Arabidopsis thaliana: one gene and its partners. The protein of the gene in region 3 interacts with the protein of the main gene of each other region in a pairwise test. Each region holds a gene or a part of one and is shown on either strand. Other genes may lie near its edges.

Region 1 (3,767 bases), on a different chromosome or scaffold from region 3:
GATCGACATGATGAATATTTGGGGGACTATGCAACAAGAGAAATAGATGACTTGAGTTTTGTTTGATGAGATAAAGTTATTGGCTATGAGATCCAATTTATACTGTAATTAGTTTGGCGAAACGTATTTTTAAAAGTTGCTTTCAAAATCAAATTTGTCGTTTTAATTTTGGAAGAAAATCAAAAATAGTCAAAACGTTTGATGCACATTGAATTTGATGCTGTCATATTTCTCATATGTAAAGAAATAAATCTTTCCTAACAATATGATAGGAAATAATACAAAGATGACAGAAGGGAAGCAGTAACAAATTTTAAGTCTCTTTCGTCTTTATTCATCTTGATATATATCATCTCCTAATTTTTTTTTTGAGATTTTATTTACATTCATAGCAAGAAAAAGAAAAAAATCTTTTCAATTTAGGAATTGTTTTTCTTCCAACTTTTTGGAATCCTCTATATAGTAAAAGATGTGGCAAGCCCATAATTGTTCTCATCATTTTTATTTTTCATTTATTGAATATAATATACTCATTGTCAAACACTATTAATTCCACTATCCTTATCCTTATCCTTATTATTTTTTAAACCAAACATATTTTAATATTAAATACACCATCCAAAAATAATATTTTCGGATTTCTAAATATTTAGCTTATAGAAAGATTTCTTATTTATCAAATAAATTAATTTAATCAAATTTAAATTTACTATTTCCCAAATTACTAAAAACTTAACTTTTAAAATTAAAACATTAAATTATATAGCCCATATTTTTATCCTATAAATTTCATGCAGTATACTATATAGTGTCTATCTATTCAACACAATCATAGTTTTTTCCTATAATTTGATTTAAAAAAAATCATTCTCCTCTATACATAAGAGAGTCTTTAGTGTTTAGGATATAATCCCACAATTTTTCTCAAGTATTTTTTTCTTTAATTCTACTATATATCATTATTACCAAACATTTTTAATTGCAAATACTATTTATCTTATTTTCTTAAAACTAATTTTTAAACACTCATAAAAGATTTTTAATATATAAATTTACCATTTTAATAAAAGTAAATAGTATAAAATTTACGGCAATAATTAGATAAAATTTGTTACCATTTAAATTTGAAGATATGTTTGACCCTATATGAATCTCACATATGTTCTCAAACATTTGGATTTTAGAATAAACTAGAAATGGTTTCATACGTTAAACAACTTTGTATTGGTTCTAGTTTCACTTATTTCCGTTGTCTCATCATATGCAATTGCAAGATTCAATACAAAGGTTACAGAAAGTGAAATCAACGTCATATGAACAAACAAAGATGTCAATGCATCATTTTGCTTTGAGTTCTTGAAATCATCCTCTCAAATTGCAACACTAGATGTCTGGTCTAGCCAAATTGAAATCATCATTTTGTTTTATATGGATTTTTGTTTAAAAACGAAATTAAAAATCGTAAAATTAAACCAAATAATTTATATTTTGCTTTCGATTTATGAATGAAATCAAACAACAGAAAATAGCAAGAAACAATTTTTTATTTTGATTTTCGATTTGACAAAAATTAAAACAATAAAAACTGAAGTCGTGTAAGATCTGACTCCTCCACCAAGATCTGACTCTAAGCACATTGTTTAAAAGCATCAAACCATATAATTTGTATTTAAACCACATATACAACATAATTAATCATATATATAAATCCACACTTTAATACCAAATTATAACTGAAATCATAAATATCATGTATTAATTTTTTTCATTCACTCAATGTCATTTAAACACACAATTATTATAATTTTAATCTTTTATTTTTGAACTACACTTATTTTTACAGGAACAAAAACAAATATAATTCAATTGAAATTAGTATTTTAACACTAACCAAAAAGGAAATAAATTTGACTATGAGATAAGAAGGCGGGCTTAGTTATATAATAGCAAGAAAGAATCTGTATATTTGTTGAATCAAAAATAATCAGTAACGCTTTGAGTGAAGATGATGAATGTTGCAGTGACAGCCACTCCCTCGTCTCTCTTGTACTCTCCTCTGCTTCTTCCTTCTCAAGGTCTCTCCTTTTTCTATCTTACTCTCTCGCTTACTATGAACACTTGGGGGGTTTTAAATGGGTTTAGTTGGTGAATTACAGGGCCAAACCGGCGAATGCAATGGAAAAGAAACGGAAAGGTTTGTTTTTGAAACTTCTCTTTTATCTCCTCCAAGTTTGAATTAGCTGATGAATTCTACAAGGAACTCTTTTTTGGGTTGTAACATGAACAATGAACCATGTAGGGAAAGTGTTTGATGAAATGCTTCAATGAAACTCTTACTTGTTTTGTTTTGAACTTGAATTCAAAAACACACTCTTTGGTGTGTTTTCATTTTGCAGAGACGGTTAGGGACAAAGGTGGCTGTTTCCGGTGTTATCACAGCTGGATTTGAGCTGAAGCCACCTCCATATCCTCTTGTATGTTTTCGTGAACTCGTTATCAATAGAGTTGGAAACGAGTAGATTAAAAAGACCCAGCTTTTAGGTTGAATTTTGGTTGATATATAACCTTATCATTGGATCAGATTTTGTTTATTTGGTTCTAATAGTACGATAGTGATATATATAAGGCTGTGAAGGTTGATGGTTACTCTAATATTCAAGCTATCTGTTTAAAGATGAATGTAGTAATAACAAATAGGATATTTTGTGAATCGTAGTACTTAATAAATCAAAGATATATTGAGATTGCTGCTTTGGAACCATATGCGTGATGTTGCTTACTCTGTGTTGGTCGTTGGGTGTGTTGATATATGGTAGGATGCTCTGGAACCGCATATGAGCCGGGAAACCTTGGATTATCACTGGGGCAAACATCACAAAACTTATGTAGAGAACCTGAACAAGCAAATCTTAGGCACGGATCTAGATGCATTATCCTTGGAAGAAGTTGTGCTTCTTTCATACAACAAAGGCAATATGCTTCCTGCTTTCAACAACGCTGCACAGGTAAATGCCATATTGCTTTCCACCAGTTTTTCTTAAGAAAAATAAAGTTTTCATGTAAAAGGTAGACTGAAAACCCCATAAGTACACTGTATTCGTGTAAGTGGCAATGTCAGTGTTAAAGACCTTCAGGTTATGTAGAAATATTGCCATAGATAGGTAGAGACATTAAAACGTAACAAGAAATCACTTAGTTACTTGCATTGACATGATACATGTAGTTTCTTGTGAACTGTGGATTGGACAAGAAATAACATCCAGGGTAAGTGGGCAAACCACCTGACGATTCATATCTTTAATCAGATTAGGACCATGGTCATAGTGGCAAGTTTTCGTAATGTGAGATGGGTTGATTGAATGTAAATTAAAGATGTATGAGGGGCTTGCAGGCTTGGAACCACGAGTTCTTCTGGGAGTCTATCCAACCTGGAGGTGGAGGAAAGCCAACTGGAGAGCTCCTCAGATTAATAGAAAGAGATTTTGGGTCTTTCGAAGAGTTTTTGGAAAGGTTCAAGTCGGCTGCAGCTTCGAATTTTGGTTCGGGTTGGACATGGCTTGCATGTGAGTGTTTTTATCTTTGTTCCCTTTTCAAATATGCAAAACCCCAAATTACTTACATACTTAAGCTTCTGGATCATTGATGCAGATAAGGCGAATAGACTTGACGTTGCAAATGCCGTTAATCCTCTCCCAAAGGAGGAAGACAAGAAACTTGTTATAGTGAAGACGCCCAATGCAGTAAATCCGCTCGTATGGGATTATTCT
Region 2 (3,442 bases), on a different chromosome or scaffold from region 3:
GTGATTACGAATCTCACAATATTAATATAAAAGGAGAGAAATGAAATTGTAAAGGAGGGTCAGATTGTAACGACATTATACATAACTTAATACATTATTCTTCAAATTCGATCTTGTTCGATTAACAAGGCATAGAGACATCGAAACATCCACAAATTTCTAATTGAGGTTTCTGACATCTACATACTAGTTAGTGGTAATCAAACTCTTTTCTATATTACTCACAAATTAAATGAAATGAAAAAATCAATTTTTTACTTTTTTCAATGCATAATTCGATTTGTACCAATGGATAATTTGTTGTTCGATAAATAAGAGTTGTTTTTTTCAGAAAAAAAAAGATAAATAAGTGCGGTTTATGAGATATCATCCTACCTAAAATATGCAAACATTTTTTTTGTTCTTGAAATACGCAATTGTAAAGATCTCTAATCAAGGTTTTAGAGTGAAATAAAAATGTTGAAATTTTTCTATTCTCAATTTTGTTTAATTTGTAGCATTCATGATAAATAAAATCATTTTTATTTTCTATTTTCTTCCATTTATGTTAAAAAAATAGAGTAGATTTTCTTCTACTTTCCATAAGAGTAAAAAAATTATACTCTATTTTGCTATTTTCTCTTGATACTGTATATTCTATTTCTACTTGTTTACTCTCACTCTTTTCTACTATTTTCTCTAAATAATACTAATCAAACTCTATATTTAAGCTATATAATTATACACTAAATAAATATATTTTCTTGAAGGAGTATATTTTTTTAATCCATATATTTATACACTATATATGTTTCCCAGAATATATTTTCTTAAGCCATATATTTATATATTATATATAAATTATCCAATACATACACTATACATATTTTAGATGCAATAACATGAAGCCACTATATATAAAAATACCACGAAAATACATATCTTTTCTCAAAATTAAATTAAAGTTGTCGCTTCATGATATTGCAGCTTCAAATGTGACATTTTTGTCTTATTAAAGCATAAAAAAAAATTAATAGCGACGCATTACCTTTTTCTTCCTTCTCATAGTTCTATATATTTTTATATTAAAATTTATTTAGTTTGTTTCACCAACAAATTGTATGCAATTAGTTCATATAATAATTCAAAAAATAAACTGTAGTTCGTTTTGGTGAATCCGACATTCCAACATCATACAAAGAAAGCTACTATTTAAAAACACATACTATTAAAATTTGATATTCTTTTATAATTATTATGGAACAAATATTTCATTTCAATCATTCAAGTCACAAGGTTCAAAAAAACCAAGAATACAAGGATCATAAAGTTTAAGACAAAACATACAAAAATATTTTACAATGCTAAAAAGGGATAAATAAAATATATCCACAAAATATGTATAAGAGCTTGAAAACAAAAGCTAAAAAGCAATTTGGCGCAAGTAATAACATTATTTGTCCTGAATTCATCATCCAACTATGCATTGGATAGAACAATGGTCATAATCAATAGACCACAAACGATATTCTCGCTGACACAAGAAAAACTAGATCAAGAAATTCATCGGCAAGGAAAAAGATATGTTATAACTAACTTCAACATTACAAGAAGTTAACTAAAATGAGACATGTGTTAATTCAATCATGATTAACAAGGTAAAAGCATTGTACGTGGTTATGATACATAATTAGTTTCTTTTGTTTTTACAGACAAGAAGCTGGAAAATTCACGTTGACATTGGTCAGGACCCAAAATAAAAGGGGTAATATCGTCATTTACTACCATAAAGAAACACCAACCGATAAAACGTCCATTCTAAGACGGCGGGACAATGTTCATACTTCATGGGTACATTACATACATACACCAAAAACTTCAAAGCCCCCACAAATCTCTAAACATATCACAAACTTCAAATTTCTAAAGACACAACCCGGATCCGGTTCCAAATCAAAACACAACCCGAAATATGCCGATCGGGTGGGTCAAATCCTTACATTGCAAATCAAAAGCATTCGACGATGTCTATCATCATCACTCCAACAAAGGTAAACTCTTATTGCCAAGTTACAGCTGCAGAAAAAACGTTAGAGACGTTGTCAATACACAACCCGGAACCGTTAAGAAAAACCCAAAACCGGACCCGAGTTTAAGACGTTTATGCTCTTCTCGTCGACCCGAATTAGACTCCAATTCTCATCACCCGACCCGACGAAGTGTATCAGCTCGAGCTTCCTCGGAATCTGTATTGCCCGTATTGACCGATCTTCCTGATGGTCATCCGTCAAGAAACGTCGTGGAGATTATATTCCAATCTAGTTGGAGCTCCGATGAGTTTCCGGGTCGGGTTGAAATGATTTTTAAAGTTGAAAACGGGTCAAAAGCTGTGACCCGGTTTGAGGAATATAGAGAAGCTGTGAAATCGCGATCGTGTTCGAAAGTTGATTCTGATAGAGTTGACGGCAGCGCGTGTGATGAAAACGCGCGGTGCTCCGCTGATGGGAATGAGATGATGAGGTTTTTTCCGTTGGGTCCGATTCCGGGAGGGATAAACGGCGGCGCGTGGGGTTTTCCCGGAGGGAAAGGAGCGGCGGTTTGTACGTTTTCCGGTAGCGGAGAAGCGCACGCGAGCACTGGCGGCGGAGGAGGGAGGAGAGCGATGTTGATTTGTAGAGTGATTGCGGGTCGGGTTGCGAAGAAAGGTGAATTCGGGTCGGATTCGGTAGCGGGTCGAGCTGGTGAGTTGATTGTCTTTGATGCTCGCGCGGTGTTGCCTTGTTTCTTAATCTTTTTCAGATTGTAAAAAATAATAATTATTATAAAATTTATACTAATTTTGATTTATATATTTTGGTTCCATTTTTTGGTTTGTTGTATCTGCTTCGTATTTTTCAGATTTATATTTAACTTTTCGTTCAAAATATATTTTTGGTTGTTTTTAGGGTCCAATCTATATACTTATGTTTAAGGTTTAGACAATTTGGCAGGATTCGATATTGAATAAAATCATTGATAGGTAGCAAATTAGATAAGAGATAATTAGTGATACCGTTTTTACAACCATTAATTTTATTTATGTATGTGATTTGTAACCACTGAAACGATAAAGTTTTTGCTATGGTAAAGAGTTCCCAGTCTAAAAATAAAGTGCACTTATTCAATGCAAGTATATGAATATATTCCATCTGTTTCATTATATATGATGTTTTAGAGTTTTAATTTTGTTTCATTATATAAAATGTTTACAAGTGTATACTTTATTTAAATAAGAAACAAATTTGATTCAACGTCACTAATTACTATTTTTATGGGAAATATTTTCGTGAAAAATTGTTTGATATATATAACAAATGCAGCACATTTTAAAATTAATTCGTTGACTGCAAAAGAGACAACTCACATGCAGATTACATGCAAATATATAAAAATATACATTTATGTGTGTGCATATATTAATGAG
Region 3 (3,016 bases):
TTAAGAGATGAAGAAAGTGTAGAGAGATAAATTACAGATAGTTAGGGTTACCGTGAGGAAGAGAGTTTGATAATAGAAGCTTTTATGTGAAGATCTGAGACGTCAACGATGGCGTGAGTGTGTTTTACACGCAGATGACGATGATGATGATCAACATAAACAAAAAGAGTTTCAGAGGTAGAAGAAACACACACGATCACGATTTGAGAACACTGTGAAATTACTAATTAAATTAATATTGAATTCAACCAATGATAAATAGCCACGTCTTTGTTCTCTTTTGTTTTTCTCGTTTTACCCTTATCTTGTTGCCTCAATTACAGGAGACAATAGGTCTCGTTAATCTTAATGTACTATACTGTGAAATTACTAATTAATATTCGACTCTTGTGAATGCAGCCAATGAAGAATAGCCACGTCCTTGTTATCCTTTGTTGAATTTTTGTTTTCTTCTGGTTTTACAGGAGACAAGACAATAGGCTCTTAATGTATACAGTGAACCTGAATCTCACGCGCTTTTTTGGTAGAGAAGGTGAAGCAAATGCGCCAAGTCGGATGTTTAAGTATATGGGCTTACTGTTTAAGCATTAGGCCCAACATTTCTAGATAATTGGAACACTTTTTTTTTTTTTTTGTAAACCAGATAATATGTATTTGCAATCATCACTATGGAATGAGTTCAAAACCATTGGTTTTTTGAAGTTATGGACTACGTAGCTAACATTTTAAAACCTACAGATTTTTATTTTATTTTAAATGTTATATGTTATATTGTATCATTACAAGAGAAAGCGATTCTTACAATGTAGTTTAGTCTTCTAACAACTGTTATTATTACTGTTGTGAAAAATATGTATTCAAACTAACATACTGCATGTTATCAACAAATGTATAAGTTGTAAATGTCTATTATATATTCTCTATGTTCCTAAAAGAATGATGTTTTGGGTTTTTCACCCAAATTAAGAAAATTAACTTTTATGTTATTTATATTATTTTTTTGTTAATTTAATAATATAATTTCTACTTCTTTCCTCTCTCTATTAGTCATTAATAAAAATAATAATAATATTAACCTAAGAAATCAATTTTTATGGAACAAAAAAAAATCTAAAACATCAAATTTCATGGAACAGGAGAAATATATTTTTGGTGATAGTACACTAATTTTCTATTTTATAGTGGTTGTAGATGTATGATGTCGTGAAATATCCCATAATAGTTCTTCAATCATAATATAAGTAACGCAATATTAAGCGGCAGCGTTTTCCCAAATTATTAACTTGTTAGTTAATAATCTAAAGAATAAATCCTTGTCACAAACTCACAATATCACAAGAAAGTGAGAAACACTATAGTGATTGGCTTCAGACGTCACCTATTTCAAGCCCTACTAACTCAATAATGTAATCAATATATACCACATACATACATCAGAGATCAGACCAACACATTTTTATTACAAATTTGACGGACCAGAGATTTATAAATAATTAAATTGAATTTGTGTAAACCACGGCATTAGAATTATTAATTACTATTCTATTTACACGTTAACATATATTTATCCATTTATCAATTTATAGTTGTATAGACGGCAATTTGTTTATTAATTTTAAAGTTAAAACTAGTTAATAACATGGATAAACCGGAAATTTCGAAATTAATTTGGTTTAAGTTTCATATAAAAAATATTTAAATCGAACCTAGCGAAACTGTGATAAAAAAACGAAAAAAAAAAATTGAACATTCGAAAAAAATAGTAAATTTTCTCTTTTGGGGTGGTCTATGCATACATAAGCCATGAGTATGTTTAAGTTTCAAGTAAGGAGAAAATATTGACCGAAATCAAAAGTGAGGAGAAATAAAAATCAAGAAGCAGATACATTGAACCTGGACATGCAAAAGCTACACAAAGCGCCTATTAAAGAAACATAATCAAACCCTAACACTCAACAAATCAAGAAACAAAGTTAGAACCACAATCAAATCCTTTTACACAAAGAATCTTAATGGCGAACCGAGGAGGATGCGTGACGGTGGCGGCGGAAGAGATGGATGAGCTAAGGAGGAGGAACATAGAGCTCTCGAGAGAAGTGGCGGAGATGAAGACAGAAATGATTAAGTTGTGGCAGCGAACGGTTGTGGCGGAGGAGGCGGAAGAGCAACTCTGCTCGCAGCTGGCGGAGCTGGAGGTCGAGTCTTTAGAACAGGCACGTGACTATCACGATCGCATGCTCTTCCTCATGGATCAAATCTCTCGTCTCTCTTCTTCTTCTGTCGTCTCTTCCTCGTAGAATAAGATATTTCTCATAAGTTATGTATAGTTGTGTATGTGACAATCACTATACATGTATATAGATCGATGGTAATATGTTATGTTTTCAACATAAATTAAATGTTTGAATCCATTTCTAGTGAATAAATTAGAATTTCTGATAATCATACAAATTGTTGAACTCCATTTCTAATGAATTAGTATTTCTGGTACTAGTTGCATATTTTGTCTTGACTTTTAATTACAAAAGTTCTTATGGAAGCAAATAATATTTTGGAATGATACCATGTTTAAGTAATGAAGTAATAATATATGAGTGAGATCTAATGTCAATCTTAACTATCAAAATAATTTTATGGAACTAGTAGGTATTGGAGACTCGAAGGGGATCGAAGAACTTTGAAGTTTAAATTCCATGAAATCCTACATTACCATAATTTTCAAAGGAATCGTAGAAGAGTTAATTGAAACTTGAGTGTAGAAAAAAATAAAGGGTTTTTGGGTACATGAGTTTCATGGAAATTTTCCACAACTTCAGGATTTTTTTTTTGTGGTCAATGGAAACCGTAGGAGAGAATGGTTCAATGATTTTTCTATGGAACCATAACAATAGTCTTTAGGGGACGTGAAACATGAAATTGTGTAAGTTTTCCATTGGTTCAAGGGTCATTTTCTGTTTCTATTTCATTTAATTATATATTTATTTTGTTAATATAAAAAAAAATCATTTAAAATAGT

Evidence for each region.
Region 1: the proteins of LSU1 (region 3) and FSD2 interact in a two-hybrid assay, tested with the Arabidopsis thaliana proteins (one large-scale study listed by BioGRID).
Region 2: the proteins of LSU1 (region 3) and AT4G12450 interact in a two-hybrid assay, tested with the Arabidopsis thaliana proteins (one large-scale study listed by BioGRID).

What each region holds. Positions count from the first base shown.
Region 1 is NC_003076.8:20,773,874-20,777,640, reverse strand, and holds the start of FSD2 (Fe superoxide dismutase 2), read left to right. Parts: upstream 1-1,901; 5' UTR 1,902-2,005; coding exon 2,006-2,075; intron 2,076-2,156; coding exon 2,157-2,194; exon of another isoform or gene 2,195-2,396; coding exon 2,397-2,474; intron 2,475-2,816; coding exon 2,817-3,005; intron 3,006-3,391; coding exon 3,392-3,563; intron 3,564-3,648; coding exon 3,649-3,767. Other genes in the region: AT5G51105 (ECA1 gametogenesis family protein (DUF1278)), read right to left, coding at 1-9. UniProt on the Arabidopsis thaliana protein: Destroys superoxide anion radicals which are normally produced within the cells and which are toxic to biological systems. Plays important role in chloroplast development, particularly in the maintenance of thylakoids membranes.
Region 2 is NC_003075.7:7,385,184-7,388,625, reverse strand, and holds AT4G12450 (zinc finger (C2H2 type) family protein), read left to right. Parts: upstream 1-1,694; 5' UTR 1,695-1,951; coding exon 1,952-2,785; 3' UTR 2,786-2,931; downstream 2,932-3,442.
Region 3 is NC_003074.8:18,374,716-18,377,731, reverse strand, and holds LSU1 (response to low sulfur 1), read left to right. Parts: upstream 1-1,791; 5' UTR 1,792-2,012; coding exon 2,013-2,297; 3' UTR 2,298-2,499; downstream 2,500-3,016.